Arabidopsis thaliana: one gene and its partners. The protein of the gene in region 2 interacts with the protein of the main gene of each other region in a biochemical or structural test. Each region holds a gene or a part of one and is shown on either strand. Other genes may lie near its edges.

Region 1 (10,443 bases), on a different chromosome or scaffold from region 2:
CTCCTTGCCACCTCTGAGGTCATGTCTTGCTCGCTTATGATTCAAAATCATTGTCGTCGATAATGACCATCATTCATTGGTTTTGGTTCATGCATTCGCAGACCATATAACCTCATACTTTAAGTATGTTATTTCACGTACACATGTAGCGGTATAGGAAACTTACCTTGCGATCCTCGACTTGAACAGGCGCTTATGGCCTTGTCCTTTGAACGGATGTTTAACACATTTGATTCAACAAATCAAACGGAAGAGTGTATATTAATAACGATTCTTTCAATGATTTTATTCTTCAATCAACTGTTATCACTTATCATATGAGTGATTTTCTCCGTTATATGTTAACTAGATTTTAACCCGCGGTATACCGCAGAACGATTTATTTTTTAAAGGTAATATATTAAAACTTGCAAGTTTTATTTTTATAAAATATTTATATTTTACAGTTTATAATTGTTATTAAGTAACGCTATACCACGAATCCATGAGACAATTGTTAAAAAGCTGAAGTTTTAACCCTTATTAAAACAGCATATTAATAATACTTTAAAATTTTATAAATATTGATTCAAATACATCTACCATATAACCCAATTCCAAAATAAAACTCGTTCTGTAATTTCTTTACCCGTCCCGTATTTTTTTATAAAGTAGTAATTTTTAAAATTTAAGAATTATTTATTATATATAAAAGCTTTACAAATTGTATCATTATCTAATACATTTATATTTTATAGTTTAATTTTATATATAGTAACATTATACATATCAGTATACTACATAACATTTTTGGTTTTATATAATCTTTTCTAAATTAGGATGATTTGATATGTTTCATATTACTGGTCTTAAAAAATAATAAATTAAAGATTTAACCCGTATTGAAACGGTGGAGTAATTATATTTTATTTTTTTATTAATGTTGATTCAAAAACCCGTCCCTCCAAATCCGTCTTGCCAAAAAGCCATTTATTTTATTAATATTAATTTTATTTATGATATGACTATATTTATAATCTAAACATTTTAGCTAATAACATAGGAGTGCACCATATTTATTTAATAGAAGAATGTACCATATGACCCGAATACACTTATACCCAATTCCACCAAAAAGTCTTGCAAAAATACTATAGAGATAAGAAACGATAGTCGGTTTTGATAGGTATAAGATTAGCAAATATATTAGTTAGCTTAAATTACTTAAGTTTATCATGATTAAGTGCTTTCTGGGTCGTCTCATACCTTATAAATTCGTCCTTAATCTCAACATGTAAAGGGGCTTGAATCGGTATTTTGTTTAGGGAGAAACCCTACTAAGGAAAGGATGTCCGACACCTCTTTCTTCATTTATCATCAGAATGGAATGGAATGAAAGCCAAGCATCTACTAGCTGCCTAGCCAGTAAGGGGGAACGCTCCTGCTTAGTACAACCAGAAAGAAAGAATGCAGAGTAAGGCCGGGAATAGGCTTCGTAAGAGGACTGTTTGAGGTACTTTGGAAGGACAGTTACACCCATGCCAGCGGAAGACTTAGGATAAGCGGTCACTACCATCTTATTACTATGGGCTAAGCAGATACTATCACCTTAATAGCAGCAAAGAGCCATAATTGAATCACGAGGCTTTAGCTCCGAGGAAGTTTAGAACAAATTGAATTAGAATTGACGTAGCGAACCAAGCCTCTGCCATTTCAGAATCTCCTTGTAGAAATTGTAATATAGTATAAAAACTTATATAACACAGAGATTTGATAATTTTTTAATTGTTGAATACTTTTTTTGTGCTAATTTTTATGTGATTAAGATTTAATTAATTTTATATATTAAATATTAAATTGTTTTACGAACTTATTTGTTTATAATTTGGTAACAGATATATATTTGAATATTCGGTATATTTTGCTTCAGTTTAGGAAATCTTTGATGACCCGTCTTTAGATCCAATAAACTTTATAATTAAGAAATGAATATTATAGTTAAATGATTTTGGTAATCTTAATGACGTCATTAAAGGATTTTGTTTTTGATTAAATTTTTCTAATGGCATTGTCATGTAATTAATTACAAAAATTAAGGTTATATTTAAAATGTACTTCCCAGTGGACATCTATTTTATGGGATGGAGCTATAGAATCTAGAGTTCTTTTTTTTTGCTGTAGACATTCATTTGTAAAAGTAAACGTACATGCATATAACAACAAATATATGCGTCTAATAAATGAAATAAAGGTCCACATGACATAATAACATGCTACAAAATAAAGTTCACATCTCTCATAACATTTAAATGAAAGATAAAATTAAAACTAACAAAAAAAACTACATTACTATTTTCTTAATTCAATTGTGTCATCTACCTAATTCACTCATTAAATTTTGTTTTGTGATCAACATTTTACTATGATCCACCTCGTCATGTGCTACTCGTATTGGGTATTCGTTGTTGTTCTATAGCCTATATGGACCAAACTTCGCTGCTAAAGTAAGGTTTTCTTATTTTATTTGATCAGATTCCAACTTTACATGATCCCTTTGAAAAGTTCCACAGTCGATGTTGTTAAGATGCTCCCTCGTACTCACATGCCCACGTAAATTATAAAACATTTAATTATATGGAATCTTGATTTTTTTTTTTTCAAATTTAATATTATTTGTCAGGGTTCGAGTTTTCCCAATTTCAACTATCTATGACCATCCGTAAACGTTTTCACTGACCTGAAATTTTTATAGATTTTGGAAGATTATATAGTAAGACTTTGGATAGTCCTCGGTTAACAAAAATAATAAAAAAAAATGAATCTTTTAATTTGAAGATAATGAAAATTGTTTAGAAACAGTGGTTACTATGATTTCACCTTTTAAAGAAACGAAAAAAACGAATTTTATTCACTTTTTCATAAAATAAGAATTAAAATTTTAAAATATATATAAAGTAATAACTTTGTTAAAAACTTCATTTTAATTGTACAATTTATTGATCAAAACATTTAAATCTAGTGGTTCAGATTGGTATGTTCATTGTATCATCATCCAAAATTCAAACCCGCATAATGTTATCTTCATGGTTTTTTTTGTTTTTAGTAGATAGCATATATCCAAGAGTTTTATGTAGATTTTTGGTTATCGAATTTTCGACAGCAAAATTTAATATATAATTTTTAGTTAAATTTCATAGAGCATTGGCTTAGCCATCATGAGAAAACAATCTGTAAGATAACTATTTGAACAATTTAGCCTTTTTAATGTCGACTTAAAAACCCCTTAGGAATCAAACACATGCATGTTTACTGGTGGTGGCGCTATGAAACTAGTTGTGGGAGTGTGGCAACAATAAGTTCTTCAACTTTTTCTTGCAAAGGAATTTGCATTAGTTATTTACCATATCTGGTCCAGATCATAATTATTCTAAGCTTTTGAATACTTTTTATTTTAAGATATAAACTAATTCAATTTGTCTCGTAATCGAATCAGAAGCACAAGGATTCGTCCGGATAGAAGGGTATTTTATTTGGTGCCTATTTTTTTGATTAAAAATAAGTAAATGTTGATATTGAGGTTTGTAGTATAGTGTTTATATATATTTATAGACTATAGTGTTTCAATTCTATATATTTATTAATACAATTTAATTTTTTAGTCCTCGTTGAAGTTGGGAAATTATGAATGAAAGAAGGATTGTCCAAATAAATAAAACTGGATTTCGACTTGGTCACTTGGAATATTGGATATATGACATGCAATACAATGTCGTCATAGAAGGAACTTGTGACCATTTATTATTATTTTGTTACATTTGTTTCACACGCACTGTTGATTACACTAGGCTTGACTTCATATGTTTGCATTGGATGTAAGGCCCAACATCGAAGCTTGTTTGTAGTCGACAGTTACTTCCTCTACTTTGAAAATTAATGTAAGCGCAACATTGACTTCATATGTTTGCATTGGATATAAGGCCCAACATTGGATGCTACACTTTGAGGTATTACTATGAGTACTAGAACTTTGAATCTGTTCATCATGCCGATTGCTTTCATTTCAAAATTCGAACATATCACCTTGTCTCCAACTCAAGCTCAAAAGAAAATAATACAAGAGTTTTCAAAATACTACTTATGACCAAAATTAATATTATATTAGTCTTGTTTAAAGGACATTGCAAAAGAAAAGGAAAAAAAAACGAATGAAAGTTGAGCTTTTTTTATTTTCTTTCTTTCTAATTCAAAGAAGAGTTATAAGTTATTAATAAATTGTAACTCTTGTTGTTTCCTTTTTGACTAATAGTGTAGTGTTAGACCTTGTTGTTAACTTGGTTCGCTTTCACTTCTTCTCTTTCCTAATTTTGCTCTTCCTCTTCCTTGATTTTCACTAAACTTAGCTTGGAACATAAGAGCTGGAGCACACAATTGGGCAAGAAAATGTTCTAACTTCTCCAAGATCCAATTTTTTCAAGCATATATTCTCTCCAATGATGTAAGCATATTTGTAGGCTTGAGATTCATCTAACTCAAAAACCACGAAGACTTTCTTCTCTTCATCAATGAAGAAACCGCAAGTCTCTTCATAAAACTGAAAATCAAGAACAGTGAGTGGTTCTATATCAACTTTTAAGAAGGGGGTCCACAACACCACTTAGGGCTCAATCTTAGTTATAATCCAAATCTCTATCACAGGGATTGATATAACACCGAGAGTTTCTCTTCTTTAACGCAAGATAGAGTTTCATTATTGTTATCATCCTCATGATGCTGAAATGGCAGAGGAAGAACCTGTCCAAATCTCTCTGCTGTAAAATCAAAACATATTAAGAAATATGGGGTTTGAAATGGATCACACCCTTTCATTCTTTCTTGAGTCCAATAGTAAGTATTTCCGGTTATTAATACTTAACCCAAACCAGAGAAGTGTTTGGATTGTGGGTTAACCGGTCGAACTGGAGGGTCCGAATTGGACGTGAAAACACTGAAAAAAAAGTAATCTATTTGTGTATCAGACTGTTACACATAACAAAAAAACATATAAGCTTTTGTTACTGGCATCGATATTGTTATTACAACGGTTCTGTTTGATATTATCAGTAAACAAATTAGAAAACTTTTTATCAAAAAGAAACAACTTAATATTGTTAGACAGATACATCTTAGATGTGAGAAACCTTAAGAATTATATCATGACTTGTATTTTTTAGGAAAAAAATCATTAATGCAGCCAATGTTATAAAGTTGATTCAATTTGGTCCAACTATGTAGATTGAAAGTAATGACTTTGTGCTATATTGCTACATGTATAATATTAACATAACTAGCTAACTTTTTCACAATGGAAAACTTATAAGAACTTAAATCCAAAAAAAAAAAAAAATCGCTCGTTTTGCAGTTCTTATGAATGTGATTGAAATTTGGAAGTGGGTAAACTTATAACTTTAATAGTATTACAACAGTGAATGGAGAAGGACACTATTAGGGACAATGTTCCACATCGGAAGTTAAGTAGGATCTTAAGTGGTATATATAAGATAGCGGCCTCTCCACCTATTGCCAATTGGTTTTAGGTTGGAAGCCCACACTCTAATATGGTATCAGAGCCCGATCCGCACATACTCAACCCGATCCACATCGGTCCGGCCCAATACTTGGCCCGCCGATCCATGCCCAAACATATCGAGATCAATGGCTAGAAGAGCCATCATCTCGAGGGGGCGTATTAGGGACAATGTCCCACATCGGAAGTTAAGTAGGATCTTAAGTGGTATATATAAGATATGGGTCTCTCCACCTATTGCCAATTGGTTTTAGGTTGGAAGCCCACACTCTAGTAGACAGAAGAATATGATCAAACACTCTGATCAAAAGCAATGGTCTCCTACCTTCCAATCACTTATCTTCAAACCCATTGTTTTCTTTATATATTTTAAATATATTTTGATGTCGCTTTTAATTATTAACATGTCATGTTATAGATTAATTTCTAAAATATTCAATGGTTGGTGGTATACTGTTCTTTGTTGTCTTGCTGTATTATCTATCTACTCATGGATTTTCGTTTGATTCTTTTATGGAAAACCCAAGATGACAAGATCTTTTGCATGATCTTGTCTTGTGTCTTTATTTCAAACTAACTGAATATAGTTAGTTATATATTATTGTTATCAATAAGCTGGAGTAGCTCAGTTGGTTAGAGCGTGTGGCTGTTAACCACAAGGTCAGAGGTTCGACCCCTCTCTCTAGCGATGTTTTCTTCTTTTCAGTTTTTTTTTTTTTTGTACTGATACAATTACAATTTACAACACAAAATACAAACTATTAGACTACATGTCAATAATGTCATGATGCAAATTTTGCGGTCAAACTTTTTTTAATATAAGTTTTGTTACATGGATTCAATGTAGTTTGTTTGGGTTTTACTTTGTAAGTAAGTTTTATAGAAACAATCAATTTTCTGAATTTTAGTTTGGATTGAATTCAATTAATTTGACTATTCCAAATGTCAATATATGTTAAGGTCTCACTCATTGTTTATTTTTTCCTTGTAAAGCTCCTCTCATAAACTTGAAAGGGCAAAAAAGAAGAAGAAAAAAAAGAAAACATAACACACACAAAGAAGGGATAAAGAACCTCTAAATTTAGTGTTCATAAGGACATGCCCACATGGTGTGGGTTATGTCACTTAGACCCTACACCTTCTCCTCTCACCTTCTTTGCTCCCAACCTTTTCTTTTATCAATTTATGTCCCTCTCTCTCTTAGATACCGAATCTTTACTACTATTTTCCGCAATTTGTTCTTGAGCCTCTTTTTTCTCCTAGTCATAGTCAAGTGTCTCTAAACGATGGACCCGATTTATCCACCAACGCTAACGTTTAATCTATCTCACTGTCATTTGTGACTATCACATAGCTACAGTACGACCATTTTCGTAAACTTATCATAAAAGATCGGTCTCAAATCCGATACAAATGTTATGTTGAACATCTACGTAAAATAGAAAACTATTGTTATTGCTATATATTTTTTAAGGGATACGTATAAAAAAGTTGTGGCGTATAAAAAACGTGTGGTACCATTTTGAATTGGTAAGAGAGTATTTATTTCTAGAGAGGTAAGAGATAACAAATAAGTAAATGAAATTTCTACATTTATAAAGGAAAATAAAATAAAAACATAAGAAGTAGGGGACCTTATGTGTGTGGGTCAATGTTGTTTTCTATTTAAAGCTAAGAAGAATGATTTCAATGGATTAGTTTCTCCCAACTCTTTCATCTTTTTTAAGCAACCACCCAAAAACAATATTACATAACCTAAATCTCTACTTCTTCATACATTTATAGCAAATCCTCTTTTGCTTTAAACCCACCAAATAACTCAGAGCTTTTTTGCATTTTTTCCCATTCTCTATTTTGTTTTGTACTTTTGGTCTCACTTTAAAAGATCATAAGTTGAAAGATTTCTGCAGAGAACAATATGTTGGAAGGTCTTGTCTCTCAAGAAAGCTTGTCCTTAAACTCTATGGACATGTCTGTACTTGAAAGGCTTAAATGGGTACAACAGCAACAACAGCAACTGCAACAAGTTGTGTCCCATAGCAGTAATAATTCACCTGAACTTCTTCAGATACTTCAGTTCCATGGAAGCAACAATGATGAGTTGTTGGAGAGTAGTTTCAGCCAATTTCAAATGCTTGGATCTGGTTTTGGACCAAACTATAACATGGGTTTTGGTCCTCCACATGAATCCATTTCAAGAACAAGTAGCTGCCATATGGAACCTGTGGATACAATGGAGGTTTTGTTGAAGACCGGTGAAGAAACCAGAGCCGTTGCCTTGAAGAACAAGAGAAAACCAGAGGTTTGTAAGATCAAAATTTTGGATAAAAACTTTGTTTTGAGACATGGTTTTTGATATTTTTTATTAATAATGTCTTAGGTTAAGACAAGGGAAGAGCAAAAGACAGAGAAGAAGATCAAAGTAGAGGCTGAGACAGAGTCAAGCATGAAAGGAAAATCAAACATGGGAAACACTGAAGCATCTTCAGACACTTCAAAGGAGACATCGAAAGGAGCTTCAGAGAATCAGAAATTAGATTATATCCACGTGAGAGCTCGTCGAGGCCAAGCCACTGACAGACACAGCTTAGCAGAAAGGGTAATAAAAATAAATAAGTTTCTTGTGATACAAGAATCATGATATATCTAGGGTTTCTGAATGGATTTGGATTTGCAGGCGAGAAGAGAAAAGATCAGCAAGAAAATGAAATATCTGCAAGATATTGTGCCTGGATGCAATAAGGTCACAGGAAAAGCTGGTATGCTTGATGAGATCATCAATTATGTTCAATGTCTCCAAAGACAAGTCGAGGTAAGCAATGAAACCATGATTCTCTGTAACTTAACTTCACTATTAACCAAAGAGAATAAGTCTAATTCTTAAAGAGCCATACTTTGCAGTTCCTGTCGATGAAACTTGCTGTCTTGAACCCGGAACTAGAGCTTGCCGTGGAAGATGTATCCGTAAAACAGGTGAAAACACATTGTCTAGACCCTCAAAGTCATATTGATATTGCTCAACAAACTTAAGGGTTATGAAATTTTCAGTTTCAGGCTTACTTTACAAATGTAGTTGCTTCAAAGCAATCAATAATGGTTGATGTGCCATTGTTTCCGTTAGACCAGCAAGGATCTCTAGATTTGTCTGCGATAAACCCGAACCAAACGACATCTATCGAAGCTGTAAGTACAGCTTTATATGAAACTGAAAAACTTGTCAGAGTTTTTGTTCCTTGTCAGTGAAGTAACCTGTCTCTGTATCTCTCTATTTCAGCCATCTGGAAGCTGGGAAACTCAATCACAGAGTCTCTACAACACATCTAGCCTCGGTTTTCATTACTAAGCAAGATTCATTGAAACAACATGGTTGACATCAATCAATCATCAAAATCAGAAGCAAATTCTATTACATTTGCTCATCAAAGTAGTAATTTCGAAATTTGGTTAATGCATTATCCTTTGATCCTTGTTTTCTGATATTTAAACCAGAAGAACTGGAGATAGCAATCCAATGATCTTGTCACCATCAATCTTTGTGTATAGATTATATAGAGAGATAGATAAATATGTTTTAGAGGAGTTATAGATATATATCATATTTGTAGAAGAAAGAGAGAAAACTCTTGTGGTAATTACAATTCTTGTTTGTTTTTTTGGATATATAAATATCTAAGAAAATTATAAATCGTTTTCCTGTTTTTTTTTTCTGCAACGAATATCTAAGAAAACTCTTGTGGTAATTACAATAAAATATCTAAGATTCTATTGTCAACGAAATGTACCCATCAATATGTTCCCATTCGAAGGGTATGGGTATAGAGTTATTAGGTCGCCATGATTTTTTATAAATCGGTGGAAGAATACTTTTGATGATCAAAGTAAACGGTATCTAGGCAGCCAATTAATCAATGTCGATTTTATCTTCACATAAAATTTTATTCATTGAATACAAATTATTTTCTAGCTATTTAATTTATGTAAAATTAAATCGATCATAAGAAAAAAAACTAATAGCTTAAACAGATGTTGTCTTTAGTTATTTTGATACAAGATTGCATTGTATTCTTTAAAAATTCATAACCAACATCATGGCGTTGAATTTGGATGTTGAATCCGAATGATGACTCTCAATGCACATTTAGATGAAAAGAAAAGAAAAAAATTTCGTTTGGAAACAGCTCATCGACTATTCACAGATTCGGGAGAGGTTATTCATTTATTCTTCTATTTTCTTGCTAAAGATTAACCATATATTCGAGTAGGATTCTTGTAAAAAGCAAACATCATCAAATGTGAAGTATGTGTCAAATAAAATTTTGTCAAATAAAACATCATCGAGTAGGATTCTTCTATTTCTATTTTTTTTTTGGATATTAGTTAGTGTCAAATAAATTTTTGTTAATTTAAAAACTACACTAGTAAACATTTTTATAACAAATAAGAAAATTGGATTCTCGAGTGATGGCAAATTCATGAATTCTTTATGAAATTGGTGAACATATATAAAATCGGACGTTGTTTTAAATTTGTTTCATTTTTAATTCAAAGAATGATATTTTAGACGTTTGATCATTGTTGTCTTGTTGATGCTACGATTGCATTCAAACTCTAGTTTTCATTACATTCAAAATATATCTAATTTTGCATTCGGATGCACCTACATATATAATTTTACAAAGCCAACAACATTCGTGCATCTATATGAAGAAACCAAAGATCCCTTAAGTTTCTAGCTTATTATTTTCTTTTCCAACTTTATCAATGCACTACAAAATCTACTACACTATGCTACTATAGTGATATGTATAATGTTACTGATGCTGACACAAGCTCTCTATATATTTATCACAATATGTTTTCTAAAAGTAGCTTTCAAGCTACCAAGTGGGTCAATGTTCTTT
Region 2 (11,555 bases):
TCATCTCCCTTCATAAACAAACAAAAACATCAATCACAAAACTCAGATCAAGAAAGCAAATGGTAGATAAATCAATGATTCTTAAAAGTACCTCAGTGACAAAACCAGGACGATGCAAGGCTGACTTATCTCGAAACCCTAAGATATAATCTTTTGCAGATTCTCTAGGACAAATCTGAACCCTAACGGTGGCGTTTGTTAGATTTACGAACAAAACCACCACAACCAACAACAACAAAGTCAGCTTCTTCTCCATCGAAGAAGAAAATTTCCTAGACAAAACGTTTTTGGAGAAAACTAGGATTATACAGACATGACAAAGGTAGGTGTTGCCAGCAAAGAAAGGTTGACAAGTCGTTGTCGTCAAGAAACAAAAATTTAATGGCGTTTACCAAAAAGATTAAAATCCAAATTCGAAGATAGGACAAGGAAGATAAACCAAAAAATGATCCGGTTGATTTGATGACCGTAAAGAAACAAATATTTTGGCTTCAAATAATTTGTCTGAGAAAGAAGAAGAAGTGGCAGTTTACGACACAACACAACTGGATAGTTCGTAAATAAACAAATATTTTGGCTTCAAATAATTTGTCTGAGACGTCAGATACACAAAGTAATAATCATAATTAGGCAAAAAAAAAAAGAGATTTCTCAGAGTCAATCAACTTCGTTGCGGTGGAAGAAAGCCGACCACATATCTTTTTTTTTTTTTCTTTTTCTTAAATATTAGTATCCACTAGCCTATGAGCTTTGGAAAACTCACTTTCAACACAATTTTGTATTGAAAAAATTTCATTGATTATGTTTATGTATTAAATTATTATGATATAAATTTAAGTGTTACATAAATTTTATCTAATTTTATGTTATATTGTAAATATTTTTTAAAGATTGTTAGATTTTTTATGAATACCAATATAGAAAAGAAGAATTATGATTAAACGATATTTTTGAAATATTTTTATATGAAAAGTTATTAGTGAACAAATACATAAAGAAGAGTTATTATTATGTACATAAAGAACAAATATATAAATAATGAGACAGTCCAACAATATTTCAAGGAAAGTGATAAAGTTAAATTCTATAAATATTTTGTTAAATTAATATATTTGCTTACTAAATTTTTAAATACTTTCACATAATTATTATGTATAAGAGAAATAATGTTTTTAGCAAATAAACAATAAACAAGTTTGGAAATATATGAGTAATAAATGAACGCACATAATAAAAAGCTACGTAAAAATATTTGTAATTGAAAAAGTGTGACTATGTTAAACACTTTTCTATTTTTTAAAGAGTATTTTCCCTTTTGTTGTTTTCGTTTTCAGAAAATGCTTTATTTACGTGTTTATTTTAAAATATGCTTTCATCAAACAGAAAAAGATATACGAAGTTTATAAAGTACTTCTCGATGGTAACTATTATTCAGACACTCGGAAAATACAATAAACTAGACAGAGGATGAATCAAATCTAACTACGACGTGTCACATCATAAGAGATATAGATTGGGAAAAATGTCATTTAAATCATCCTTTTACCATTTTCGTTGGTTTAAAGCATGGACTTTAGATCTCGTAAATTAAATCCTTAATTTTATGTTGACTTTCAATTTAATCACAAATTCTCGTTGACTAAGCCAATTGAGGCACAATTTTTTTTTTTCGGTGTCTTCAATCGACCTAAAGACGAAAGATTACTTTGAATTCGAAGAAGAAGAGATATTCCAAAGAAGATAAGAGATTCTGAAGAAAAATAGAGAAAAACTCAGAAATTTTGATTAGAAAGATTTCTAACGATGTGTCTTAATTGGCTTAGTTAACGAGAATTCGTGATTAAATTAAACGTCAACATAAAATTGAGGATTTAAATCACCAGATCGAGAGTTCATGATTTAAACCAACGAAAATGGTAAAGTGATGATTTAAATGACATTTTTCCCGATAGAGATTCGGTTTGGGATGGATCATAAGAGATCATTAAGGAATAGTTCTTGTGTAAAGCCCGTAAACCGGAAAATCGGTTATGGTTTGTGTTTAAATCACCCGGTTTAATCGGTTGGGTTAATGGAAACCCTAGAGTGTACCTATAAAAGAAGGAAACTCGAATTAGAGCTTTGGTTAGTCATTTTTCGTTCTGTAAAAGAGAAAAAGAGAGAGAAGGAGAAGGATCAAAATCGTTAGGATTGGGGAAGAAACAGTTTCAACATATCAAATCGTTGTCAAAGGTAACGAAATTTGGTAGAGTTATTTCGAAGTCTTTCATCGTCGTTTTCCATTTTATAGAAGTTGTTTTGGATTTAAGCTCATTAAGTTATTCACAGTTTCGTGAGACACGTTTTTTCAGACGCGAATTAGGCCCAGCAGAGATTATAACTGAGATCGTGGTCTTGTCTAGTTTCTAATCAGCACGAGATTTTGTGGGAAGCTCGTGACGTCGAAGGCTACTATCAGTATACATACCTATTCGGATTCTCGTTATATGGAAGTAGACGTACGTGTTTCATATACACTAACAAGTCATTTATCATAAATAAATGTGAACTATATATGTTTATAAGATTAAGAATTGGCATCTGTTTGACTTATAACCAAAACTTTGAAAGCCAACAAGTATGAGACCTGGTCTAATACCACAAGCAACAGACTACTTACTATACAGTGTATTATAACATGATGGAACCAGAGATAAATAAAAAATGTACATCAGACAAACTCCTACATAGTTTCTCTCCAGCCCCATAACCGGAATTACATTAAACCGTACCAAATGTACTCGGTTTACAGTCCAACCAGATTTCACCGGAGTTACAGCCCTTATGATGTTCCTCTCCTTTTGCACCTCCAAATGCACTTTTTACCTGTAAAACCAAACATACCACAGTAAATTTCATGCCACTTGGTTAGACCAATGTACCAAATTCCAATTGAACTGTGAAACATAGAAACTTTCACTAATTTTTTTACTGTGGTCTACTGTAAATGCAAACACTTGGATTTGAAAACAGTTCAAAACTTTTCAGCTAAATTCAATTTAAAACTGATACTACTTGGCTAGACAAGTGTGCCAAGCACAACGCGCATCGACGATTTATTTGAATTGTGTAGGAAGATTGAAACTTACTGAAAATTTGGAGACTTTCAATTTGAAAATGTTTAGAATCTTTATGTGAACTTATTGTTGAGAGAGTCGGATTTGCGAGTTACATACCCGGTTTGTGAAAGCCGTCTCCAGTTCAGTATTTCATGGTGATTCTGCAAGTAGCTAGACGTTGTACTTCCTCCTCCAATACCATTTTCTTCACTAGGGAACTGCTCTGAGTACCCTGGAGACCACTCGGGGACTATGCCTCCGCTTCTTTCTCTCCTTCCGCTGCTGGAAGATTCCGCTGTTGAGTCTTCAGTGCTCTCTGCAACAATTCTGATATTAAATTCTGGAATCATAGCAGTGACTTGGTTTGAAGCCGGTTCTGCTCTCCGCTGCTGAGCTTGGTTGGTGTTAACCATGTTCCTTGGAACCTCTGCTCTGCTATCTCCTACTGAATTTCTCAAATTAAGAGACGACTCTTCGTCTTCTTCAGGTCTGATCAAAGAAGAAGTAATGCTTGGAACCATCTGATCCTCATATCTCCTGTTTGGGTTGAGTCTGGTTGGTTCAGTCTCTTCCATTGTAATGTCCCTTGGGAACTCTATAGGAGCTTCCTCTACCTCAGCAGAATCTCCAAGTCCTTCTTCGGATCCGTTCTCTATTGCAGCTCTTGAAGCAGCTTCTAGTTGCCACATCTGTGAAAGCGCTTCATGAAGCCGTGCTTTTGCTTCGTCTAATCCTACAATTGGTAGAGGATAGTTTGATCCAAGCTCGATACCAGCAGCTTGAAGAACGGACTCAGGTGCGTTCCACGGATGATGTATCCAGTCTGTCGGGAGTCTAGAGAGTTCAGGAAGCCATCGCCTTACGTATTCACCATTTGGATCAAACTTGTACCCTTCAAACTGAGGGTTATCTATGCGATCAAACTCCCGGCTATCCGGGAGAGTACCGGTAATGTATTGCCAACCAAGAGCATCGCTTTCTAAATCCGCATCAAGAAGTGTGTCCCAGAAATACTTCATCCCCCATCTCCATGGTAATTGAAGCACTTTAACAAAGAAGCTTGAAACAACTACTCTTATGCGATCATGCAACCAACCAGTAGCCCATAACTCTCTCATCCCGGCATCGACCAACGGATATCCAGTCCGGCCTTGCCTCCATGCCTTGAAATAGTTCTCATCCACAGCCCAAGGGAAGAACTTTAGATGGCCAAGAAGTGGTCTTTCATGGGAATATGGATGGTTAAAACTTATGTACCTAGAATACTCCCTGAGACCAATAGATTTCAGGAAAAGATTCACGCTTTCTTCCCCGGCCTCGTTTCCTTCGTTTGCCCACGCGACCTGTTTGATCCGAACAAGATGAAAAACTTTTCTCACACTCACTTCCCCAAAATGCAAGTGTGGAGAAAGAAACGAGGTTGTAGCACTATCGGCTTTTCTGCGGTTCTTAGAGTATTCAAGCAATGGACCGTTTATAAACGTTGTGAGAGCTTTATCACCATTACTCCATCCAGGAGACCAAGCACGAGCCAGAAGTGCATTGCTTCCTTTCTCAGAGTCATCCTCAAACACCAATGGATCCGCAACACATTTAGACACATCCCCTGCAACATAAAAGAAACATTATTGAATGATACAGATTTGGAAAAAACGAAAACCCACAAGAGAGAGTGGCAAAGAAACAAACCTGAAATGATCTTCTTAGGTGGAAGAAGAGGAGACTCAGGGTCATAAGGCATACTAAGACATCTCTCCCAAAACGCAGCAAACATAGAGAAAGGACGGCCTAATTCATCAGTCACTTCCCATGGCTCATAAAGCAAGTCTGCGTTGAATGATCGAACCGCTATGCCTTGCGCCGTCAAAACATCTTTAGCTCGGTGATCACGCACCAAAGACAATGGATCTGAAAAAGATCAAAACTTTATCATTTCCAGATCATCTTATTCCACAAATACATCAAACAAAACATAACCCATAAGAGAAAAGATGATTCCAATCACAAAAATCAAATCTTTTTATCATGCAAATTCAAAGATAAGATAAAGAGAGAAGAGAAGAGGAACAACAGACCATACAAATGGTTGAAGAAGATCTGAGAAGCACCAGTGGATTTAACAACATCAAGAAGAGAAGCAACACTATCAGTAGATCTCTTGGTGATAAGACAAGTACCAAGACTTCTAAGAGAAGAATCAAGCTGAGCCAAACTGTTCTTGAGCCACCACCTAGAAACCCTACCTGGATGATAGTGTCCTTCTTCTTCTGGTGCCCAAACAAACAGAGCAATCACTGGACCAGCTCTTACTGCTGCTGCTAAAGCTGGATTATCTTCAACCCTAAGATCTCTTCTAAACCATACAATACTACAACCACCAGAACCACAACCAGATACAGAACCAGACATCTCTCACAAACTAAAAAAAACTAAAACTTTTCTTTGCCAATAATCACATAAAAATTACTTTTTTATTCAAACTATTTCCAGAAATCGAAACCCTTTGGTCACTTATCTCTCTCGAGAAGAAAGACAACAAAAAAAAAAAGATTTTTGATGAGAAGGCAAAAAAAAAAAAAAAGCTTATCTTTACGAATATCTCTCTCTCTCTCTGAGTGCCTCTCTGGCAAAATGCAACTATACTTTTGGGAATTATTCACCCAAAAAGATTTTTCCTAATTTTGGACAAAGTAGTCTCTAAGTAATAACCCAAAAATATAGCAATATTTGCATTAATTTCTCTTTTAATTTATTTATTGTTTAGGTTACAGTTTGAAAAAATATTTATCTCTTATTAAATTATAATTATTATTTATTTTTGGTAGAAATATAAAATTATTATTTTTGTCTTAAAGTGAAAAATCAAAGAAAAATAAAATAAAAATAAGTTATCTAAAAAAAAAGAAGAAGAAGAAATTGGAGGTTGATAGAGAGAGGTGAAGAAGATTGACACTAGGAATAATGATTCAATTCACACGACGAGATTTATTGGAATAATTTTCCACCACAACTTTTATTTATTTCTTTCCACTTGAAATATTATCCCAATCCAGTTGAACCAAATCAACTGTGACTCACAAGATTTCTACTCCTTTCCCTAAAATTTCTCCTTTTTTCTTTGTTCAAAAAAAAAAAAAAAATGTAGAATCTTATACTATAATTCTCTAGAACATATTCTACATATAAATATTAAACTGATTTTTTATACACTTGGATTTTAGTGGGACGATTATTGGTTAATTATCAAATGGTTCAATTCGGATTTCGGTTCTGATTCGTTTCGATTTTCGTTTAGGTTTTTAAAATTTCTGTGTTATGAAAAATGGTATATTCAGATAAAATAAAATGATATAATAAATGATTTGGTATAGTTTTGGATTTGAGGTTTTTGGATTATAAATATCAATATGGTTTAGTTTGAATCGGATCGGTTTATCTGGTAAAACAAATGATATCTTAATTTTATTCTTTTATTTTTTTAAAGTTGATTATTAAGGATAATAGAGAAATCATATAAATGATGTACCGAGGATGGTTCTGAAATGTTATTGGAAGGTTAGGATATGAGAGAGAGTGACATATTAGCAAAAGTGGGCGAGAGATGGATATGGTTGGCCCTCCTTGCCTTTTAACATATTTTAGGACTTTTTATGTTATCTATATATATATATATATATATATTGTTTTTGGTGTGGAGAGTGTTTATCTTGATTCATGATAGAGTTAAGACTCCCTTGACAAGTCAATTTAAGTTACCAAATCACTAATCCAAAATTATGAAACCTCTTTTACGGCTTTACCCAATTTTAATTCCATCACATATATGTTTGATAGTTTAGATCTACATTTTTCTCTTCTGATTAATTTTTATAGTGAGCGTAGTTGTCGAATAGTCTTCATAATTGTTTTTAATATGTTTGATAGTTTAGATTTAGATTTTTTTCATCTGATTATTTTTTTAGGGTGAGCGTAGTTGTCGAATCGTCTACTTAAATTTTTTAATAGCTTTAAACATGATACTGAGAGCTGGTTAAAAATATATTTTAGGTTCGAAGAAAATTGATTTATAACTTAGACCTACATAAAAAAAAATAACAAATCAGAATCACTAACTAGCTACTTGTATTTGGTTAAATTCCATCATATGCGTAGGACATTGAATTTTGTGGGTAAAAATTAGAAGATACAAACATACATTTCTGAAAATCATAAATATTCATCAGATTAAGTATACAACAAATTGACGAAAAAAAAAATTTACAACTAATTTACTTTTTTTTTTATCAATAACACATTAATTTAAAGATAACTTCATGATTGGTTTACCGCTCAACAATTAATTCACATCAGACAAAATATATTTAACAAAGCGGATAAATAATATAAAAATGAATAATGATGACACAAATGAACGGATTACATACATTAAAAAAAACAATCATGATATCTGCTCTCGACCACCTCTAAATTAGCTTGTTTTCGAGTGTAAATAACGTGCCTTTTATTATTTTATTGCTCGTAGGAGTATTCATAATATAGCTAGAAAGAGCTTATTATTTTATTATATGTATGTACAAAAAATAATAGAGATTATTATTGATTTTGCCTTTTTTATAAAAATCTTGTGAAAATGATATTTTTCCTAAAATCTTACGGATTTATTATTTTTAACACTTAAAAATGTACCTCGTTACGTTTTTTTAAAATACATACTTATACCAAAGACTAAACCTAAATATAACGAGTAAAACGCATCTTAAATCACATTTTTGTAACCTCAAAAAGGGCAAAATTTACAAACTATTCAAAAAGGAAAAATTCATAAATACAATTAAGAGAATGGCAAATCCGTAATTGATTCATTATAATATATACAATCTAACATAGAAGAGTACCATAATGACAGTAAAGTTATATATGGATATAATAAATTAGAAAACTTCTGCTTTATTACTAGTGAAAATTCCCAAACAAAACTCCAACTATTTTATATTTGAACGTTTAATATCCAAAACTTTTCGGTTGGAAAAACAATACACATACAAAAGAAACTGTAAAATTTAATACACAAACAATTAAATATTTTTATTTTCATACTCACGATCTCAAAATAAAAATAAAATTCCAATTTTATCCTTACTAGCTCAATTAACTATTAATTTTTAGGTGATGAAGCGCTAATTTTATTTAATTTTTAAAAGTTACATTTTATTAATATTTTGTTTCTATATTATTTGCTTTTTAAAATTCAAGAGAAAAAAGCAAAAAAAACTTTTTAAAAATAAAAATAAAAATAAAACATTTTTATGAATTGATCAATCTTAAGAGAGACAATGAGATCGGATTAAGATTTTGTCGAAAATAGTTTTATTTGTGAAGTATTTAAATTCGAATAGTAAGTTTCTCACGACGAAGAAGAAGTTCATATCAATGCTCGTTGATATCATATTCATTACGACGAATGAGATCAAATTAATTTTATTGGCGATTAAAATTATGGATAGGATTAAGAGGAGATCATGAACGGTTATCAAATTTGATGTTGGCAAAACAGGACAACGAAAATTGTTTACTGTCGATTCTCATAGCGATTAATAGAGGAAATCTAGAATCGAAGATTGAATCCCAAGATAAAACATCTCTTTGATATTGTGACAATGTAATATGATTGTAAAAATGAATATTTTTAAATATTTTGATTTTCTCCTAATTTCTTATGTTGAATTTTAAAATAAAATATTTATGAGAAACATGAAATTTTAAAGTTTTGAGACAACATAAAATAAAATGTTAATAAATTAATTTTTATCAAAACTTATAAAATTAATGTCACATCATCTAAAATTAATAATTAATTGAGATGGTAAGGGTAAAATTGGAATTTTATTTTTGTTATGAGAATGTAAATATGAAAATAACAATATTTAATTGATCTACACTATTATTTGAGACGTACGTTAAGTGATTCTCAGTTAAAATTTTTTTTTACCTTAAATCATATGTTTAAAATGTTGATGTCATGGAAAAAAATACCTTTAACTGAGAATCACTTAACTTACGTTATAATCTTGGCCATTCGATTGAATTAATTGTAGTCATTGATTTTTTTTAATAAATCTTACAGCAAGATTTTTGGAGAGAGAATTTTTATTTATTTTCAATTAACATATTCCCTTATTGAATACTATTCATAATTACGTGGGTTTAAAATTGGAAAACTAATTATACTCATATATCAACAATATTTATTCTATTCTAAAAGATTATTAATCCAATTAATTTTTTTAAAACATTTCCTAATCAAATCTGCTTTATTTATAGATATAACATTATAAATATCGAATTAATATGTTTGAATTCGAAATTGGGTTAAATATTCTAAATTTATTTAAATAACTGGAAAAATAATTTTAACAAAACTATTTTTTAATTTTTGATAATTAAATAGAAAAAATATGTTTAAACATTTAAAAATAAAACTAATTATATTTTTGGTTTATATTAATTTTTGTTAATTAAATTAATCGAATTCCTTTTTCAGCAACAGAATCATATTAATTAAAAATATTCAATGCGTATATTCCTTTCTTAAATTTGAATATATCACTTTTCCATAATTATAGGTAATCAAATATTTAATTGGATATTCATTTTTGAATTAACGTAAAGTTTCCGAAAAATTTACATAATTAAATAACTACTTATAAGATAATTGCTAAACATTCTCCTATAATTATGGGATTCATCATAATCATTAAACTTGACTTCCACAATTTAATATTTTATGCATATTTTAAACCTAAAAATTTATATCTTATAAATACTGTACGTCCCATTTCAAGAACTCACTCAGCAGTTCCTATCTTCTTTTACTCTCTCGCTTCTTTTTTTATTCTAGTAGAAGAAAACGAGACCATGAAGAAAACTGAGGTTGTTGATCGACTAGACCATGGAGAAAGCAATATATCGAGGTATCCTCTCACACTCTCTGTTTTTCTCTATTTTTTTCATGTTTTTCTCACATCTGTTTTTTTTAATATTTATGCAGGTAATGTGGGAGATTAAAATGTAGACGCAGACATGATTTTGTTAAAGTATGTCTTGCTTTCTAATTATTTATCTTTTTATGCAAAGTAATATGTTAAGCTTTTTTTACCTCTCTATATATTTATAAGATGAGTAATTCTGATTGAATTTTTTGATAAGGATTACGGTCTTTTTTCTGTTAATTTGCAGATACATGATGATGATTTATAATTTGACTACTATCTTCCAATGAACAACAAAATTATAAGGTATGCAACATTTTTTCTTAAATCTGATCGATAGATTCTCTTTCACTAATATATTGAGACTGTGTAAATATTTTTGACTGTAGTTTAGATTTTAATATATTGGTATTGTTAATTAAATTAATTGAATTTTAATATAAGTTTTTATTAATAATTCTTTAATTTTTTCTTCTATAATTCTGATTTTGATAAAATTTATTCTTGTCTTATTAATTTGTCAAATTTGATAATTAATATACATATTAATAAAATACACTAAACCCCGACACATCATGTATACAACTACATATACTAAATATACAATTATGTATTTAAAGGGATACATCAATTCTGTAATAAATTCAATAGTATCCATGTTTAAATGATACCAATAATAAATTGAGAAACTTTTAAAATTTATAAATTATACAAATAAACATTTATAGATAAACAGAATATGTGAAATTCGTAATATATACAGAAGTAAAACTGATAAACTAATTAAAGCATGACTACTATGCGTAGCACAGGTACCATCTAGTTAAGTATTAAATTGCACAGTTTTATTAGTACAAGTGTTTTTTTTCTAACCAAATAGTATTAGATATTAAACGTTTAAATAAAAAATAGTTGAAGTTTTTTAAGAAATTTTTCGTTTATTACAATGTAGTCTGTACAACTGAAATTGGACGGTTTGAGAATAAACAAAAAATATTTGGAAACAAAGGAAGAAGACTTTAAAAAACAAAAATCAATATGTTCTCTGACAAAATGGATACCGATCTCTTAGGGGCGGACCCACATTGAAGCTAGGTGGGGCACGTGCCCCATACTAATTCCTATAAAGATTATATAAGCTATCATTTTCAGCAAAAATAGAGTTAGCTTAAATGGTATTACAGTGATATGTGCCCCATACCAACCCACGTTCGAGGCTCACATCTAGCAATTTTGTATCTTGTTTTTTGATCAATATATAATTTAGATAATTAAGTTAAATTTAATACTATTTATATATATGGTGCCCTATATAGAATTACTTTCTAGATCCGCCCATCTCTACATATTTTGTTTGTAATGAAAAATGTATCGTTTGTATTAAGGAAGGAAGTATATACCACTGAGACAACCCTTTTTTTTTTTTAATATAGGATACAATTTATTATTTATATCAAATTTGATTTTG
Region 3 (11,491 bases), on a different chromosome or scaffold from region 2:
CAGATTTTAAGCGTCTTTGATTATTTTTTTAATTACCTTGAGATCTTAAAAGATATATATTTTAGTATGACAACTTTTTACTTCCAATGATATATGGTTAAAAAAAATTAAAATATATCTAAACTGCCGTTAAAATGGTTGTTGTTGACTTGATGAAAACAGCTAACGGCGTTATTTTCTGGTAAAGGTGCTACTGTGCTAGTCATATTTTACGGTGATGGACCTGATGGTTCTGTTACTAACTTTAGTTACCATCAATGGTAAAAATCAGATGCTACAATAATATCCTGACACGTGTACATTCCTTTAGCTAGTATCGCGGAAGTGTAAAAAGACCGATTCTTGAAAATAATAAAATTGCATTTAAAGCTTTCAGTAGATTTATAGACAAACAAGGAAAAACAAAATAACCTTTTAGTAAATTTTCTTTGCTCTGACATGTACCAGAAAAAGAGAGGGTTAATGACATACGTTTATCTTTTTTTGTCAACGGTGTGAAGCATAAGATTATTCTTTTCTTCATAAATGGACAATCAATATACATAATTGTGTTCATATAAAACAAATCTATTTGAAAGTTTTTGTTGAATTCGGTTCCATATATGTGTAAGAAAAAGCATAAACGTTATTTAAGATCAATAAAGTTCTTATAGACAAATGAAAAATGCAACTTGTGGAATAACACTTGTTACTTTTTTATTAGTGAATCGATATGATCCAAACGTATATATAAACCGTCTACAATATATATTAATTTTCATTTATAGAAGTTGACTTGTTATTTCACAGTATTTTTCACTTTTGACGGTTTGAATCGCAAGCATTGGTAGTATAGTTACATCTATTTCGTCAGTCCGAGAGATTTTACTTGCTATATTGTCCATATATATGTTCTATTTAATTTAGTCTGTTTTTACTCATAGATGCTCTCAAAACTTTATAATGATATGTTTTTACTCATAACTCATGTTCAAAACTTTATAATTATATGTTTTACTCATAACTCATGTTCAAAACTTGTCTCTTTTTCTGTTTAAGTGCTTAGTGCACATCTGCCTACATAACAATCACGCATGTTTACACATAGAAATTGTGTTCAAAACTAAAGGGTTTTTCTCTATAGTAATATTTCTCTTTAACGTTTATCCCTAGGCCCTAGCAAGTAATATTTCTTTTCAATATGTAGGTATTCTACTTAGTTTAGATACAAATATAATTATGAAAAAGAATTAGAAATAAGTTGGATGGTGGGGACAGATTACGCAGCGTTGCAACATATGTAACGTGAAATGATGGTTCGTACAACCTCACGTACACAATCCACTCAAAGTGACGTAGTGTCTTTGGACTTTGCCTTCGATGCATCTCATGTTCTCCTGGTCCCACGATCCTACCTCAATTTTAGATCACACAAACCCATCCCAATTGCTTCATAAAGGTTGTTAGTTTTAGTAAACACACTCAAAAGTGTTGAAATTATAATATTACATATTTTGCTCAAAAAGAGCTAAGGCTTTTTAAATGTACAAACAAATTCTCTTTTGTTATATATTTCTAGATTTGTCTACTTTAAACGTATGATGTGTTTAACACTTCTTTCAACAATATACGTGTATGAATAAACATGTTTTCGACATTCCACTTATGTCAATATCAACACATAATTTTATGGCTAAGCAGTAACCACCAGCTGCTGTGTAAAATCACACTTTAAAAAAGTTTCTTTAGCCTACATCTCTACGATCATGATGCATTGGCAATAACAAGATGACAACAAATTTTACAAAACAATTCTCATACCATGTGGCTTAAGAGAAAAGGCCAGCGAATTTATTCGAACCCAACATATATAGTGAAGATGTCTTTTTCAATCTCTTTTTTTAACAAGTATACTTTTTTTTTTTGGTAAATTTCTTTTAGTGAATTTACTTTCATCTTGAATCATTCTTTTTATTTTCAATTCAGTTTTGTTGATAATAGATTTTCATGAACGAACAAGGTTCTAAGAGATAATAATAATAAAGGGGGAAACAAAACACATGATAATAAGAATCTAATAAACAAGAGAAAAAAGAGAGGTGATGAATAAATGTAGAAGTCGAATCATACAAGAGGTGCTTGTTGGAAGGTCGTTGGACCAACGCTTATTGTGATATTCATGTTCGTATTCTCTATGTAGGTTTTTCTTTATATCTTCCCAGCATATACGTAGTTATTTAAGTTTCTTAGAAAATTACTATACATTGAATATCTGAAACAATTAATCATGATATTATGGAATTTTTTTTCTTTCAAAATTTGTATAAAGAAAAAGGAATTTTATAGTGGGGGCATTTTAGCATCTCGTCGAAGATATGAATGAATAGAGAATTTTGCAAAGTGTAAAGAAAACAACCGACCAAACCCACTTGTTCTCTCACGTCCTTTTTATGTGTTAAATTGTCATACACAAAAAAAATATTTACAATTATAATTTTTCTAAAGTCTTTAATGTCAAAATTATATGATCTATTTATATCAGTAATACAAATGTAAATCGCTATATTTTATATTTTTGTTAAAAACTAAATACCATAATTTAAAAGAAATATTTTCTTTTTCTTTTTATTTGCGAAGATATTGTTTAGTCGTATGGCATTGTATTAGTTACTTACTTAGTAGTTTTACAGAACGAGGTGAAGAATGTCGGAAAAAAGAAAGAGGTGACGAAGAATTTTGACCAATTTGCTACTTTGTAAGGGAAATATAATACAAAAAAATTGTATTTAGCATCATTACAAACAATTTCTCCATTTTGTTTTAACTTTTACTATCAATTTTATTATTTTTATACGAAACTTATAATTAATAACACGAGGTAAGCCTGTTTTGTTAAATTGAGTATGTCAATTCATTTCATGAGATAATAACCTTCAAATAAAGTTCATAAGATAGTTGCCCCATATCGGTAACTTAGGCTTATAAAACAGTCTTATTATTGGTGATATAAAACAGTACTTAACTACTTATATATAAGTACTTACAACTTATTCTTATTATTGTTGATATAAAACACTAAAGTTGGGTTAAATCTTAATTCCAATTCAGCTGTTTGATGTTGGTTTAAAAGTCTGTTTGCACCTATGATTCTATGATATACCGAACCGATTCGATTAACCAGTAGTTACGAGAAGTTATTTGTTTCAACTAACTATCTATTGATTTGATGTAACTAGTTTGGTCCTCTGCGTATAAAAGGAACATTACAGAAGAGATTAAATGATAGGCAATTGATAATTGAGACGGTTCAAGAAAAGATTTAGCAACCAACAACCTTAACAAATTTTCATTTACGTAACTATAATTATAGATCTTGCTATTTTTCCATTTTATGGCGTCTTCTTATTACGAAACTCATACTATTCAGTCACATAATCTCATTTACTGGACTATAATGGGCTTTATTGTAATGGGCTTTATTGTAAGACATGAGCCCACAAATTTGGAAAGTAATAAGCTTCAGCTCAGCTAAAGAGAGTCTAAAAACCAAAGGGAAAAATGTCATTAAAATCCCCAACTTATTGAAAAAGTTGATTTAAATCCTCAACTTCCAACGAAACGAAATAAATATCAAACTTTTGTTGATTTTCCAAATAAATACCAAATTTTGGTTGACTTTCCAAATAAATATCAAACTTTTGTTCGAGTAGCCATATTAAGTATGACATTAACAGACCCTGTTATTAGAGTCCATTTTTTGTTAACAGACTCGTTAATTGAAAACGACAATATTCCCTATAACAATAAAACAACGTCGTTATGTCATAAATGCTCAATTAAATCCCAATTTCAAATCATATGAAGATTTAGGGTTAGAATTTTGCTTGATTTGGAGATTTAAGATTGGATTTGGGAATTTAATTCGGTCGTTATAATAAAACGAGGTCGCTTTCTTGTTATAGGAAACAATAACGTTTTAAATTAACGGATCTGTTAACAGAAAATTAACTCCGTGAACGCAATATGTTAATCTACTTAATATTATACCTAATATGACCATATATACGAAAGTTTGGTATTTATTTGGAAAGTCAACAAAAATTTGATATTTATTTCGTTTAGTTGGAAGTTGATAATTTAAATCAACTTTTTCAATAAGTTGGAGATTTTAATGACATTTTTCCCAAAAATCAAGGGGAGTTTTATGGTTTTATCTACTTGACCCGACAGAGAAATCCGGACCCGGATAAAATCCGACCCGTTCGAATGAACTCATACGGCCGAGATTTTTCCACCAAACTCGACGGTTACCACTCGTTTCTTTGTCCACCATCTTCTCTCTCTCTCTCTCTCAACCCCCGAAAATCTCCTTTTCCCAAAATTTTCCGATTATCTCACGCCGGATTGTTTTTCAATCGCCGTCTTCATAATCTCCGGCGACTGAAATCAGTCTGGTAACTATTTGAATTTTCATGGAGTGGGACAGTGGTTCCGATCTAAGCGCCGATGATGCTTCGTCACTGGCGGATGATGAAGAGGGAGGTCTTTTTCCCGGAGGTGGACCAATTCCATATCCCGTTGGGAATTTGCTTCACACGGCGCCTTGTGGATTCGTTGTTACTGATGCCGTTGAGCCGGACCAACCTATTATATATGTCAACACCGTCTTCGAAATGGTTACAGGGTATCGTGCTGAGGAAGTTCTCGGAGGAAATTGGTTAGTTGTTTTTTTGTTATCTTTGTGATTAGTGTTCTAATTGATGCGAGGAATTTCTATTTTTGGTTATTGGCTCACTTTACCAAATTTTGGCTACTTGGTGGAGTTTGATTAAGGTCCGTTTAGTTTGAGGATAGGTGAGGAATGTTTGTGATGATGGTAATCTGAAGGACACTCTATTGATCACTAGATTTAGTATGGATGGATACTTTGGTGGAGAGAAAACAAAGATATGTCTATTGTTAGATAATCATTAGAGTCTCTGCCAAATGGCAGAGAAGACTCAGTGGAGTCTCTGTGTGTGCCTAAGTATTCTCTGCCTTCAGATGTTTATTCAGTGATTGTAGTTTTCATATTAATCGAGCTCTCATGGCTGTTTTTGAGCTGTTTCAGCTGCTCCGCATGTTAAGGAAACTTGAAAGTGTATATAGATGCCGAGATAAAGCGAGCTATCCCTGTGTAGTTTCTCGGGGTCGTAGCGAACACAATAAATTCTTTACAATGTTGATGTGCAGTGAACCAGTGAAAAGGCTAAGTCCAATGCGTTTAGTTGTGTGTTAGTTTTCCATGAGAGAAGTGCTAGTAGCTTCCTTTATTAATAAGCTTTGATCTTACAGGAGGAGCTGATCAGTTCAAATAGTTGTTATTCTTGAACAGAATGAAAATCTGGTTAGGTTATAATTATGCTTGTTTGGTGTATTTGTTTTTTTTTTCAGTCTCTACATGCACGGCCAAATATTTTGTCTATTGCTTTTCCGCATCAGTAAGTTGGAGATAAATTTTGTTTTTGGTCTTATATTGTTTCTTAATTAATTTCTCGGATTCTGCAGCCGCTTCTTGCAATGTAGAGGACCGTTTGCTAAAAGAAGGCATCCATTAGTTGACTCTATGGTTGTTTCCGAGATAAGAAAATGTATTGATGAGGGCATTGAATTTCAAGGCGAGTTGTTGAACTTTAGGAAAGATGGATCTCCGTTGATGAATAGATTGCGGTTGACTCCTATTTATGGAGACGATGATACTATTACCCATATAATTGGAATCCAGTTCTTTATCGAGACAGACATTGACCTTGGACCTGTTCTTGGATCTTCAACAAAAGAAAAGTCAATTGATGGGATATACTCAGCTTTAGCTGCTGGGGAGCGGAATGTTTCCCGAGGAATGTGTGGGTTATTCCAGCTGAGTGACGAGGTTGTGTCTATGAAGATATTGTCACGCCTGACACCAAGAGACGTTGCATCTGTTAGCTCTGTGTGCCGCAGGCTATATGTGCTGACAAAGAATGAGGATCTTTGGCGAAGGGTTTGTCAGAATGCATGGGGAAGTGAAACAACACGGGTATTAGAGACTGTTCCTGGTGCTAAAAGACTCGGTTGGGGCCGCTTGGCTAGAGAACTGACCACCCTTGAAGCTGCAGCTTGGAGAAAACTTTCGGTTGGAGGTTCTGTTGAGCCTTCTCGCTGTAATTTTAGTGCTTGTGCTGTCGGGAACAGAGTTGTTCTGTTTGGAGGAGAAGGTGTGAATATGCAGCCTATGAATGATACCTTTGTTTTAGATCTGAATTCTGATTACCCTGAATGGCAACATGTCAAAGTGAGCTCCCCTCCTCCAGGACGCTGGGGCCACACGCTCACTTGTGTAAATGGCTCCAATCTGGTTGTATTTGGTGGCTGTGGTCAGCAAGGTTTGCTGAACGATGTGTTTGTCTTGAATCTCGATGCTAAGCCGCCTACTTGGAGGGAAATTTCGGGTTTGGCTCCGCCTCTACCAAGATCATGGCACAGCTCATGCACCCTTGACGGAACCAAACTGATAGTCTCTGGAGGCTGTGCAGATTCCGGCGTTCTTCTAAGTGACACGTTCCTCCTCGACCTTTCAATAGAGAAACCAGTGTGGAGAGAGATTCCAGCTGCCTGGACTCCGCCTTCCCGGTTAGGCCACACACTATCGGTTTATGGAGGAAGAAAGATCTTGATGTTTGGTGGTCTTGCTAAGAGCGGGCCTTTGAAATTCCGTTCGAGTGATGTCTTCACAATGGATCTAAGCGAAGAGGAGCCTTGTTGGAGGTGTGTGACCGGTAGCGGAATGCCTGGAGCAGGAAACCCAGGAGGAGTAGCACCACCACCAAGGCTAGATCACGTTGCAGTTAACCTCCCTGGAGGCAGAATCTTGATATTTGGCGGCTCAGTGGCAGGGCTTCACTCAGCGTCTCAGCTTTATCTACTTGACCCAACGGAGGACAAACCGACTTGGAGAATACTAAACATTCCAGGAAGACCGCCTCGGTTTGCTTGGGGACATGGCACTTGTGTTGTGGGAGGAACACGAGCGATAGTGCTAGGTGGTCAGACCGGAGAAGAATGGATGCTAAGTGAGCTACACGAATTATCACTAGCGAGCTATCTCACGTAACCAAAGAGAGCCTATGTATGAAAGAGAACCCAGCCATAGAAGAAGATGAAAAAGGGTTCTCGGTTAGGATACTGGAGCTTTAGGGGAGAGCGACTCAGTGGTGGGACTTTGGTACTGCTCATATTTTTTAAGTCCTTCTTCTTCTTTCTTCCTCATTAGGAGGACTTTTAGTGCTTATATAATATATATAGTGAAAATGTCATCTCTCTCTTTCTCTCTGTAGTGCTTGTTTCTGTTGTTCTCTTTGAAGTTTGAGAAGTGCATTTGTGTTCATATTCTGTAAATTTTATTTATGATTACAAACTTTAATAAGATCCTTTCTCTTCTTATGCTATTGGACCACTATTTTCATTTCCAATTTCATACTTTTAGTTCGGAGACAAAATGAGATTATTATTATTTTTCCATTGAGTATGATGAATATAAGAAAATTGGAAAAATAGAGGATAAAACCCCAAATTTTCATTTTAATAGAAAAAATTGGGGAAGAAAATTTACAGTGTTGAAATTGGTTAAACCCTGACACTAGCACCTTCCTCAGTCGCATCACCACCATGTCAGAGCGCGACCGCCGCGAACGAGAGAGGGATAAGGACCGTGAACCAGACCGTGATAGACGCCGAGGTAGAGACGACCGTGACCGTGACCGTGATCGAGACCGGGAAAGAGATAGAGAGCGCGACCGTGACCGAGGGCTTAGAAACAAAAAATCCCGATCTCGTACTCCAGACCACCACGCTCGTGCTCGCCACGTGCGCTCTCCGGAGAGGTATCGCTCTCGTTCCCGCTCGATTGACCGTGACCGGGACCGGGACCGTCAACGACACCACAGGCGCAGGTCTCCTTCTCCAGATGCTCCGTCGCGAAAACGGCCTCGCCAGGGTTCAGTAGACGATGAGAAAGAAAGGAATCGCAAAAGAGTAGTGACTGATTCCGTTGACGAGAATGCGTCTACTATTACTAAGAAGAAGGATAAACAACCAAGTGATGCTGCTGATAATGGCGGAGGCGAAGATGAAGAAGGAATGGATGTGAATGAGATTGAGATGATGAAGATGTTAGGGATTCCTACTGGATTTGATTCCACAAAAGGCAAACCAGTTGCTGGTGCTGATGTTAGTGGTATTAGAGCTGTAACTAAGCGTCAGCCAAGACAGTACATGAACCGTCGCGGTGGATTTAACCGTCCTCTACCGGCCGAGCGTAATCGCTAGTCTTCTCAAGGTTAGGCTTTCCACTAAGCTTCCCAAGTTTTTGTTCTATCAATTGGAAGATAGGTTTAGCTCCTATGTGTAGTATGATTAAATTAGATAGGACTTAGTTCTTAGACTTGTTGGCTGCATTAGAAAATGAACTCATCAGCATCTTTTCAGATAATGGATTCTAAGTACTCATCAGGTTCAGCATTTTGCTTTCTCTATATTACTCACTTGTTTTGCTTCTCAATCTAGTTCACTGGTGGTTGTTTAGTTAGATCTATACCAGAGATCTTTGTTTCAGGTGATATCCTCACAAGCTCTATATACAGATAGTTCACTCGGTTAGTTTTGTTATCTGCATGAAGAACTATTTTAGTTAATCCAGAGGAAATGGAACCAGTCTTGTGTTTTTTAGTTTTCTTGCCTTGGCACATTTGAATCTGCATCTTACAAGATCAAGTTGTGCGAGTTACTGCGTAAAACCGATCATTCCACCTATGTGCTGGTATTTACCAATAGGTCTCAACTCTCAACAGCTGAATTTAGAATTTACTTGCCCTTGGATCATTTACTCTGATGAGATTAAGCAGTTTCGGTTTTTCTGATTATTAACTAGAATCTTTCGTGTCTCTGCATCCAGTTTTTGTTTTCGCATTGATCGATTTCTGCTCACCAACCTTTGAATATATCTTGCAGGTCCCTCTAACGCTGTCTTGAACACTAGTCAAAAAGATGAGGGCTAGAGCTGCATTTCCCAGATAGTAGTTACTAGTTACTCCAATTCTTCCCCAGACTCTGTTCTGATGTCTTATAGAGAACAAACTTGTACTCTCTGAATTTGGTTGGAAACAACTCGTGAGTTATTTCTTTTTCGAGATTTAAAAATGTTAATGTTTGTGTGTAATCTCCCGGCTCTAACTGTCAGACTATGGTTCATTTGAAATCAGGCTTATTCATTTTTGAGTTTTTCACTAAGCATCAGAAAGAAATTGGAAATGCGTACTTACATAATTTCATTCCAAAATTATCGTTATGGTTTACAATATCAAGCGAGTTAATAAATAGACCGATTTCAAAAGCTTTTAATGCCAAAGCTTGAGGCAGATCCCAGCAGGTACTACACCATTTGTCGATGATCTCTTACTCAGTATACTTTCTGAGAATGTATCCACAAGCTGTTGTCCCAAAGAAGACAGATCCTCCATAAACGTCTCAACAAAGATCTTCACAACTCTTACTTCTCGGTGAGTAGCTCTTAAGCTATACCATGTCAAGAACCTTTCCCTAAAACTCTTGTCTATATGTCCTTCTTCCTCTAAACATCTAATCGTCTTAACAATATGACCCAAGTCTTTATCTCCTACTCCATTTGCGGCATTATTGATCTCAGGTTTCTCGTTCAAGGATACTGTTCTTGATTTGAATCTTTTATTCCCTCCTTGCTTTCCTTTATAAATATCTCTCTTGCAGGGTGTTACAAGCAAGTCTCTTCCATCTATCTTGTTTGCTTTCCTCTTTACAAGCCTCTCTTCTTCAAGCTCAGATTCTACTTCTCCTGCACTACAGTGTTCAGTGTTGTCCTTGTCACCATTTCCTTTGCTGCAGCTTTTATTGACATTATTAGATTCATCTTCTGGTAAAGATGGATTACTACAAAGACCACTGCTTGAGTTTGTCAAAGGGCTTTGCTGGTCCCCAGCTTCATCTCCATCATCCTTCAACGTTGTGAACCGAAGCTCAGACTCATCTAAGTCACCTTCCTCGTTAAAGGAAACCACTCTGAGACAGAACTCGGTGTCGGGTTCAAGTCCTTGGATGGCAGACGTCGTCTCAGGTAGATAAACAACACAATTCCCCTGAGACGAGCATTCTTCGTCCTTCGACTTTCGACAAAACAACCTGAAACCTGTGATCTTGTTTTGTGTAGAAGAAGACGGCTCCTCGGAGTCTACTCTCACAGTGACTGATCTTGCTTGAATCTCTTCTACTCTCACGGTCATCTTGTCACCTAACAGGAACTAAAGTCAACATCTTCGGTTTTAAAACCAAAGTAATGTATGAACACACTAACCTTGTCCTGAAACAGATTCTGATGGTGAGACCACTTTGTCCAGAGCTTCCATTGCCTGAGAACACAGCTTCTGGACATGCACACCCGAAGAAAGTCTATTGACGATGCCTCGAGCCATCTTCATGGCCCAACCCGACAACGGACCCACATCACCTTCGAGCTTCTTCACCGCCTCATCCATAAGTTCCAACAGATTCCGATACTTCGTGGTACCTCTCAACAGCTTCTGTCCTAAAGAAAGACGATAACAAAGTACATCCACACGCCGCGTCTCTTTCGCCACCTTCACTTGTTTTCTCCAGCATCTGTAAGCACTCGCATACACACACATTACATTACATTCTCTTTTCATTGTAGTATATCCATAGATTTCAATATCTAAAGATCCTTACCCGAGCAAGTCATTATCTTTACCGCAATACGCGCAATAAAACCTACCATCAAGATCATCACTCCCAATCCCATACCTATCTTGCTTCAAACCACATTCCAAATGACAAGACGATCCACAAGCATCACAAGTAAGCCATAAACTAGGATCCTTATTATCATCAAACTTTTGACAGATGCAGCAAGAACACCTTCTGCAAAACGTATCATCGCATCCAAGCGCAGCTCTACAAGCTAAATTCTCACAGCAAATGATGTAACCGATCATCTTCTTCTCCTTCTTCCTCGAGTTTCTACGGTCAGAACAAGAGGTCTCTCCAAGAGGACGAGACACAAGATTCAGAAGATTCTCTATGAGCTTTGGTTTGTTAAGACCAGTGTACTTCCTTTCTTTACCCATCTCAGCACATATGATCTTCATGATCTCATTTCTGCTCCATGAATTCAAAAGCTCCGAAGCTTCTTCAGGCTGGTTAGACAATGCGTGGATCAATTCTCTCCTTTCACTTACATTCAAAACGTTTGGTTTACAAGTCTCAATGCATTCATTATCTGCACCATAAAAGACCAATCCTTTAGCCCTAGATTCTCCTCAAGATAAAAAGGAGAGGATCACAGATTCTGACTCTTTTTGGGGTAAAAATGATCAAAAGTATAAAACTTTGAATGAATCTCAACAACCCAGAAACGAAATATCAACAATGACGACGAATCCAATGC

The links.
Region 1: the proteins of CRY1 (region 2) and HBI1 form a complex in vitro, tested with the Arabidopsis thaliana proteins (one study listed by BioGRID).
Region 3: the proteins of CRY1 (region 2) and ZTL form a complex in vitro, tested with the Arabidopsis thaliana proteins (one study listed by BioGRID).

Annotation. Positions count from the first base shown.
Region 1 is NC_003071.7:7,951,464-7,961,906, reverse strand, and holds HBI1 (basic helix-loop-helix (bHLH) DNA-binding superfamily protein), read left to right. Parts: upstream 1-7,167; 5' UTR 7,168-7,460; coding exon 7,461-7,844; intron 7,845-7,922; coding exon 7,923-8,141; intron 8,142-8,219; coding exon 8,220-8,354; intron 8,355-8,443; coding exon 8,444-8,515; intron 8,516-8,590; coding exon 8,591-8,725; intron 8,726-8,816; coding exon 8,817-8,871; coding exon of another isoform or gene 8,872-8,885; exon of another isoform or gene 8,886-9,266; coding exon 9,267-9,361; 3' UTR 9,362-9,503; downstream 9,504-10,443. Other genes in the region: AT2G18320 (F-box associated ubiquitination effector family protein), read right to left, coding at 4,376-4,570, 5,244-5,279, 5,598-5,687. UniProt on the Arabidopsis thaliana protein: Atypical bHLH transcription factor that acts as a positive regulator of cell elongation downstream of multiple external and endogenous signals by direct binding to the promoters and activation of the two expansin genes EXPA1 and EXPA8, encoding cell wall loosening enzymes.
Region 2 is NC_003075.7:5,718,212-5,729,766, reverse strand, and holds CRY1 (cryptochrome 1), read right to left. Parts: upstream 6,117-11,555; 5' UTR 5,508-6,116; coding exon 5,174-5,507; intron 5,007-5,173; coding exon 4,788-5,006; intron 4,705-4,787; coding exon 3,216-4,704; intron 2,866-3,215; coding exon 2,862-2,865; 3' UTR 2,499-2,861; downstream 1-2,498. Other genes in the region: APRL6 (APR-like 6), read right to left, coding at 1-8, 92-256.
Region 3 is NC_003076.8:23,237,146-23,248,636, forward strand, and holds ZTL (Galactose oxidase/kelch repeat superfamily protein), read left to right. Parts: upstream 1-4,281; 5' UTR 4,282-4,451; coding exon 4,452-4,696; intron 4,697-5,526; coding exon 5,527-7,070; coding exon of another isoform or gene 7,071-7,111; exon of another isoform or gene 7,112-7,178; coding exon 7,179-7,270; 3' UTR 7,271-7,445; downstream 7,446-11,491. Other genes in the region: AT5G57370 (U4/U6.U5 small nuclear ribonucleoprotein), read left to right, coding at 7,666-8,325; VIN3 (Fibronectin type III domain-containing protein), read right to left, coding at 9,393-10,318, 10,382-10,686, 10,774-11,323. UniProt on the Arabidopsis thaliana protein: Component of an E3 ubiquitin ligase complex that plays a central role in blue light-dependent circadian cycles.